Sus scrofa: one gene and its partner. The protein of the gene in region 1 interacts with the protein of each later gene in a pairwise test. Links are inferred from orthologs where the notes say so. Each region holds a gene or a part of one and is shown in the gene's direction. Other genes may lie near its edges.

Evidence for each region. The genes of interacting proteins can lie anywhere in the genome.
Region 2: the proteins of UBE2L6 (region 1) and RNF144B interact in binary tests that used the Homo sapiens proteins (3 or more experiments, as listed by UniProt). The link is inferred for Sus scrofa from reciprocal best matches to the Homo sapiens genes UBE2L6 and RNF144B.

The regions. Positions count from the first base shown.
Region 1 is NC_010444.4:13,352,496-13,356,933, forward strand, and holds the start of UBE2L6 (ubiquitin/ISG15-conjugating enzyme E2 L6), read left to right. Parts: upstream 1-1,592; coding exon 1,593-1,619; intron 1,620-4,438. UniProt on the Homo sapiens protein: Catalyzes the covalent attachment of ubiquitin or ISG15 to other proteins. Functions in the E6/E6-AP-induced ubiquitination of p53/TP53. Promotes ubiquitination and subsequent proteasomal degradation of FLT3.
Region 2 is NC_010449.5:14,052,069-14,055,716, forward strand, and holds part of RNF144B (E3 ubiquitin-protein ligase RNF144B), read left to right. Parts: intron 1-394; coding exon 395-606; intron 607-3,648.

The DNA.
Region 1 (4,438 bases):
CCTGGCCTTGCTCAGTGGGTTAAGGATGTGGTGTTGCCGAGAGCTGTGGTGCAGGTTGCATACACGGCTTGGATCTGGTGTGGCTGTGGGTGTGGCTTAGGCCAGCAACTGTAGGTTTTTTTTTTTTTTTTTTTTTTTTTTTTTTTTTTTTTTTTTTTTTTTTTTTTTTTTCGGCATATGAGTTCCAGGCTAGGGTGAATCGGAGCTGTAGCCACGCCTACGCAGCCCAGCAACGCGGATCCGAGCCGCTCTGCCCCCACGCTCCGCCGCGGTCCTTCCACGGCGGCGGGTCGAACCCCCTGGCCTAGCGACGTCCCCCACTACCCACGACCCCCCACGCCCTGTAGTCCATTTGATAGCTTCGACCTCATATGCCGTGGGTGCGGCTCTAAAAAAGCAAAAAAACAAAAACAAAACAAACTTCCTAAACTGTGCTCAAAACTCAAAATACCTGCACAAAATATTTTCTGATTTCCTTCGTCTGGATTGAAAGGGATGGGGAAGATGGGTTCAGTTTCCCCAGAGTCTCCTTATTACCAGAGATTCTTCTCCAGATGCTGCTAGGGCTCAGGGGCTGCTATTCCTAGGCGGCCTCAGCTTCCTCCAGGGGAAAGTGTTTCTGCCCTTACACAGAGGGGTGGAGACTCTTGGTTGTGTACTGGGGCACACAGTAGGCCCGCAATTTGTAGTGGACTGATGGTAAAATAATGGAAGCCTCTGAAGTCCATCTTGGGGTCCCCACTACCCAACTGTCTCCCAAACCTCCACAGAGCAGGCACTTAAACATTAAACCTACCAAAGCCCTAAAGCAAGTGAATGGGTCCAACAGCGCCCCCTTGCGGTGCTTTTCACCAAGCGGTCACTTGGGAGGAACATCTTTGCAGTTCCGCCGCCGAATGCTGGGCAGCACAAAGGAACACAAGCCTCCAGGGGAGGGGTCCTTGAAAAGGCTATAGTCCACGCCGTCTCCCACCAATTTTTAGAGATGGAGCATTGGGCCCAGAGTGGTTTGGGGAAGTGGTTTGCACAGGGGGGCTCCTGGAATTCGCGAGAGGCTTAGGGCGGCGGTCAGACGGTGGAGGCCCCCGAGCAACCTGTCGCGGAGCTGCGTTTGCATAGCACGCATCCTGTATTTTCTTAGGGCGAGTGTGTGTTCGGGGCGGCTGCGGCGACTGGGCTAACGGAGCTGATGGAGACCCCGGCTTGGCCTCCGGCGGAGGAGCTGAAATTAGAACCCGGATGGGCGGACCCCGGCCCGGGAGCACTCGCGGCCGGGTGCACGGCGCCCCCCAGTGGTATGCCGGGAACCGGAACGCCGCGCGCTCCCAGGCCCGCCTTGTCTGCCGACAAAAGAGCTAGAGTTCCGGGGATCCGAGCCCACCGCGCCGGGGACGGGGCGGGTCCTCCCCTCCGTGGCCTCCTAGGCTCTGCCGAGGCGGTGGGAAGCAGGGCCGCCCAGCCCGGAGTCCCCGCGGGTGGAGAGGAGCGTGGGCGGGGCTCCCGGAGGTGGGGTCCCCGGGGCGGGGAGCGCCGAGTCCGCCGGCCGGTGCACAGTCTCGCTGGAGTCCGACAGAGCCCACACTGGTCCCGAGATGACGGCGAGCAAGCGGGTGGCAAAGGTAACCGCGTGTAGAATGACCCTTTCTCAAGGCTCCCCTCGCCTTGCTAGTCCCTCTTCCCTGCATCCCTCCCTTAGCAGTGCGAGCGCGTTTGTTTGTCTGGGTACCAGGGATGGCTGAATCCCTGCCATCTCCGCTCCCACCCCAGAGGAAGAGGGATCTTCGAGAGGGGCCAGAGCTGGAGTTTGGGGGGGTGAGGGCATATCGAGCGGGGGTGTCGCTGGCTCCCTGAGCTGTGCTGGGGATGGGAATGAGCCCCCCCCCCCATTGGTTTCAGTTTCATTTCTTCTCCCAGAAACTTGTGATAACAATTGCGTGCGTCTCAGGTGCGGGGAGGCTTCGTTGGCTTCTTCTTGGAGACAGGCCCTCAGCTGGAGGTGGTGGCGGGTGCGTTTTGAGCAGAGATAACCAGGACAAGGTTCTTGTCCTGGCGTAGCCCATGGCCTGCCCTATAATTTGGTACCTACGTTAGAGTCCCGAGAAGTATGAGATGCTGAATAGGAGGCAGGAGCAAAGTTCTCAGACTGTTCTGGGAAAGAAAAGATGCTAGGGCGATGTCCTGGGGTAGGTGACGGTGTGTTTATTTGTTCTGCAAATGTTATTGAACCTCCTCTGTGCTGGCTCCTGTTTTGGAGGCAGAGATGAACCAAAATCCTGCCCTCACTGAGCTTTCATTCCAACCAGGGATGCCATTTGAAGTGACCTCTGGAAGGATGGAGAGGGGACAGTTTCCCCCATGAGTGGGAAAAACCCAGGTTGTGGCTGGGATTGGAGACAGTTTGAGAAGGTTAGAGCAGTTCTGGTGAGGTGGGTCTGATACCCCCTCAAGCTTTGAGTCTCCTGGAAATTCCCCTCCTATGTACAGAGCAGGGGGCAGGCTTGAGGTGGGTGATTGAGCCTCTGAGAAGATCTCAGATAGGGCATTCAAAGCAGGCTCAGCACAGAGGGACTGAAATCTGGAGATTGGCAGCAAAATGGGCCAGAGGGTCTTTCCAGCCAAATGGGAAAGAATGAGGAGCCAGTATTTATTGCACTGGCACTGTTAAATGAGTGCCAGGCAGCTTACATTAGTTATTCCAGCTCATTCCCACAGCATCCCTGTGAGCTAAGTCATATATCCCCATTTTCCAGATAAGGAAGCTGAGGCTTGGAGAGAATAACTTGGCTCTCCTGGGTCACCCCATAGAGATCGAGGGAGGGACCTTGGACTGGAGCCCTGGTTGGTGGAGCTCCAACCCACAGGTTCCTTCACTGGTTCTTCTACTTTCGTTTTCTATTCTTCTGAGTCAGATGATTTCCTAACAGACCTCAGGACAGAGGCGTGTGTCCTAGCTTGGGTTTCAACATTCCCAGGCTTTGGGAAAGTCTGAACAGAACTCATATAAAACAGATCAAGTCCAAGGGCTTCCAGTTCTAGTGAAGCTGGGAAACTGACCATTTCAGAGCTTCTCTGTTTAACCTGGGGGTTCATTCTTGCTCAGGAGTCACAAGTGATACTGGAACTAGGACTTGTAGTAGAGATGCTTCTAGTTTGGGATAGAAGATGAAGAAAGGGTCATAGATTCCAAGCAGAAGGTGCAAAATGCAGTTTGTTGGCGTGAACAGAGTTGGCGTATGGACTGAAAGATAAGAAACAGGGATAAGGGGGTGTTTGTATGTTGGGGAGGGGCAGAGAAGTTTAGATGGTGCACATGTGAGAAGACCCCTCCCCCACTGTGAACGAACTGGCTTGGGGGACCTTTCTCTCTGCCTTTGTTTACGTCAGAATTTTGCAGCCTTGTCAGTACTCACATTTGGGGCTGGATAATTTTTTTTTTTTTGGTCTAAGGGCTGCACTCACAGCACATGGAGGTTCCCAGGCTAAGGGTCACATCGGAGCTGTAGCCCCTAGCCTACACCACAGCCACAGCCATGCCAGATCCGAGCTGCATCAGCGGGCTACACCACAGCTCGTGGCAATGCCGGATCCTTAACCCACTGAGGGAGGCCAGGGACTGAAGCTGCGTCCTCGTGGATGCTAGTCAGACTCGTTTCTGCTGAGCTATGACAGGAACTCCTGCAGTTGGATTCTTAACCCACTGCGCCACAGCAGCAAGTCCCCATTTCTCCGTTTGTGACAGCCAAAAATGGTTCTAGACATTGTCAGACCTCTGGGGTGGGGGGTGGGGGGTAAAGGAATCCCCTAGTTGAGAACCACTGTTTTCCACCTGTTTGGTGGTCCAGAAAAATGTGACCTTTTTATTTGTTGTTGTTGAGTTTTTTTTTTTTTTCCCTGAGGTCTATTGCAGAGGGGAGAGGAAAGGGGGGGGGCGGGCAACATAGGGATAGAGGAGTAAGAGATACAAACTCTTAGGTATAAAATAAGCTACAAGGAGATATTATACAACACAGGGAATATAGCCAATATGTTATAACTATAAATGGGGTGTAACCTTTAAAAATTGTGCATCTTACAGTGTAACTTATATCATACAGCAACTACACTTCAATTTTAAACATTTTTTATAAAGAAAAATATAAATATTTGTGTCTTTTTAGGGCTGCACCAGCAGCATATGGAAATTCCCAAGCCAGGGGTGGAATTGGAGCTGTAGCTGCCAGCCTACACCACAGCCATAGAAATGCGGGATCCCAGCCGTGTCTGTGACCTACACCACAGCTCACAGCAATGCTGGATCCTTAACCTGCTGAGCAAGCCAGGGATCGAACCGGCATCCTCATGGGTACTATCAGGTGTGTTACCACTGAGCCACGATGGGAACTCCAAGAAAATATATTTTTAAAGTCTGTTGGCGAGGAGTTCCTGTTGTGGCTCAGTG
Region 2 (3,648 bases), on another chromosome or scaffold:
CCCTGCTTTCAGGGGTGTACACCTTGAAGTGGAATTGCTGGATCATATGGTAATTCTTTATTTTTTTTTGCTTGACATTCTATTTATAAGGATTTTTTGAATCTGTTGCATTGATTGTAGCAATGCAGTTCCTAAATAGTATATTTGTTCATAGTGGTCTTTTAATTCCCATAGTTTATGTGATATGAGTCAGGCAGTGAGGCCCACTTCCGTTTCAGGACTCCAGAAATACTGTGCAAGTGGCAAGCTCTCTAGCCCGTGGTTCTCAGAAATGCGTTTTCTGTGCCCTTAGGCCACTGAGGATGAGAGTTTGCTCTGCTGGTGCCCAGATGTGTTGGTGGAACGAGAGCTGTATCAATGGATGTAATATTTTCTGCTTTGGGCCTTTCTGTAGGGATTAAGGAGACTGAAGAGGCTGAAAATAGGCTGATGAGCTCCGTTGGTAGCCTCCACTATCTCACCATGACTGCCGAAAATCCCGCTGAAAATCCCACGCCTGGAGACCTGGCTCTGACCCCCCTCGTCACTTGCAAACTCTGCCTGTGTGAGCAGTCTCTGGACAAGATGACCACACTCCAGGAATGCCGCTGCATCTTTTGCACAGCCGTAAGTTTTCCTTGGTTCTTTCATGATGAGAAAATACAGAGAAAGACTTGTACAAGTACAGCTTACATGTCTATGGCTTACTGAGAAGCCCAAGTCTGCTGCGATATGATCCTGCCTGGGGAAACAGTTCCACCTTTGAATCTGATTCCAAATACTATCTTGAATGGTAAACCTGGTATTGACTGGGTTTTACTGTAATGCGTGTGTGAAATTTAATTATTGGTTAAATAAGCAGTATCTTTCTGTTCTTAAGAATCTAGCTAGGGAGCAAAACAGTGACATTTTTTAACATGCCTTAGTTAACAGCCATCTGTAAGAAGTTTATCAGGTGGTTTGAATGATGGCGAAATCAGGTATCAATTTACTGGATCGTCTTTAATATGCTTGCTCATCTCCTACAAAGCACATGGTGTGTACACCTGTTTACTTGGTCGTATCTCCTTTTACATTTTTTTGTCTTTTCAGAATATGCTGAATGCTGCTTATTCCTCATAATAAAGAGGACCCTGTACAACTCCAGGGTGGGCTTGTGTCGTTTAGTTGGACACTTAGTGTCAATGCCTATGATCTTGATCACATGTTTTCCTGAAGATTGGCTGGTTAAAGAGTAAAAATAGCAAACAGGCTAATGGGTTCAAAGGGGCTCCTAGAAGTGTGGACCAGATTGACACTTGTTCAGGTGTTCACTCACTGAGGTGTTTTTCGAGCTCCTACGATATGCCAGGCACTCTGCTTGGTCTTGGGAATATGAAGAGGAAAAGGATACTTCCCGTAGGGAAGACAGACACGTTGAAAGAACTATACACAAGTCTGGTGAAATTAGGGATCCCTAGACCACAGAGGTCGGTCCTCCTCTTTGGGGATGGGAGGGGGCTTCCTGGCGACAGTGCTTTCCTGAGCTGAGGTTTTAAACAAGAGACTGCACACTGATGCCATGGCCTCAGCACCTTTTCGTTTGCATCCCCAATTGGGAAATTTCTTTTTTTTTTTTTTTTTTTTTGGTCTTTTTGCCATTTCTTTGGGCCGCTCCCGCGGCATATGGAGGTTCCCAGGCTAGGGGTTGAATCGGAGCTGTAGCCACTGGCCTACACCAGAGCCACAGCAACGCGGGATCCGAGCTGCGTCTGCAACCTACACCACAGCTCACGGCAACGCCAGATCGTTAACCCACTGAGCAAGGGCAGGGACCGAACCCGCAACCTCATGGTTCCTAGTCGGATTCGTTAACCACTGCGCCACGATGGGAACTCCCCAATTGGGAAATTTCAAATGACGGATTTTGTAAATTTTTCCTTTTCAAAATGAATAAACAGTAAGATAGAGCTACTCTGGGCCTGTAGCTTCGTAGGCCCAGAAATAGATGATCTTTTTTCTGTTTATGGTACCTACCTCTCTCTTGTATGTATTTGAATGAACTATACTTTCAAATTAAGGATGGATTAAGAGTCAGCTAGGGAGAGTTTGAGGCCTCTCAGCAGGGTGGAGGGGAGGGCCTGATGCCTAAATTAGTAATATTCACCACTTATCTTTGCTTTGGTAGGCCTTGCATGGGTACACTGTTAATACTTAATATATAGTAGGTATAATTACCAAACCAATGTGGGTTTAATACTCTGACTTGTGAAGGAAATTGAACAGTGATCGGTACTTAAATCAAGGGGAGTAAGAAGAAAGGAATCATTGAGGAAATACTAGAATCACTTATAAAAAAGACATCCTACTAATCATGCTTTTTAAAAAACGTTAACAAGTTAAGGTGAAATAAATTTTACCCCGTCTCCCTCTCTCTCCCTTTTTGTTTTCTTTTTATGGCTGCACCTGTGGCGTAGGGACGTTCTCAGGCTGGGGGCTGAATCAGAGCTGCAGCTACAGGCCTACATCACAGCCACAGCAACACTAGATCCAAGCTGTATCTATGACCTACACTGCAGCTTGTGGCAACGCCAGATCCTTAACCCACTGAGTAAGGCCAGTGATAGAACCCGGATCCTTGTGGAGACTTGTCAAGTTTTTAACCCCCTGGTCCGCAACGGGAACGCCCATCTCTCTTTTCCAAGTTAATTTAACACGACGCTTTTTCAAGCTAGTTTATATCAATTTTCTTAAATTTGTTTGGATTGAGGATTAGGGTAGAGAGAAGGCTTGGAATAATTTTGAGATAAAAAGGAAAGCAACTAAAATCCTTATGTTTTGAACTGGAGGATCCAGAGATGGAAAGAATAGTATCATTTATCCCTTCATTCAGCAGATACCTAGTGAGCAGCCTCTGTGTCCTGGGAATTGTTCTGGGCACTGGGATTTATCAGTTAAAGAACAAAACCCAGCAGAGATCCTTGCTTTTAGGAACTTGTGTTCTGTCAAAGAGTTACATAATAAATCATAAGCCTAATAGGAGTTCCCCTTGTGGCTCAGCGGAAACGAAACTGACTGGCATCCATGGGGACGTGGTTTCGATCTGTGGTCTCACTCAGTGGGTTAAGGATCTGGTGTTGCTATGAGCTGTGGTGTAGGTTGCAGACATGGCTTGGATCCCACATTGCAGTGGCTCTGGTGTAGGCCAGCAGCTACAGCTCTGATTCGCCCCTGGCGTGGGATCTCCATATGCCGCAGGTACGGCCCTAAAAAGACAAAAAATCAGAAATAAATAAAAAAGCCTAACAAATAGATAAGTTACATAGGAGTGGGTAATAGGGATTTAAGAAAAAAGGTAGAGCTGGTTAGGAGTGTGGGGCCAGGACACTGCAGTGACAGTTGCGTGGACGGGAGGTGGGTTCATGAAGTGATGTTTGTGCTGGTTCTTCCTCATCTTGTGTTACTTGACGGGAAGTGAGGAAATGGCCTTGTCATCACAGGGCAGCTTCGGTTTCCTTTGGTGTTGCTTTGTTTCTGAATGCTGTGCTTCAAAACTGTTTTCTTAGATTTTCTCACATCGGTCTCAGACCCTTGCTAACCTTTGAAACAAATGAGTCAGAAGCCACATTTGGTTAAAGCCAGAAGGGACATTCTTGTCTGAGGATTACTGAAGTTGAAGAGCAGGACATG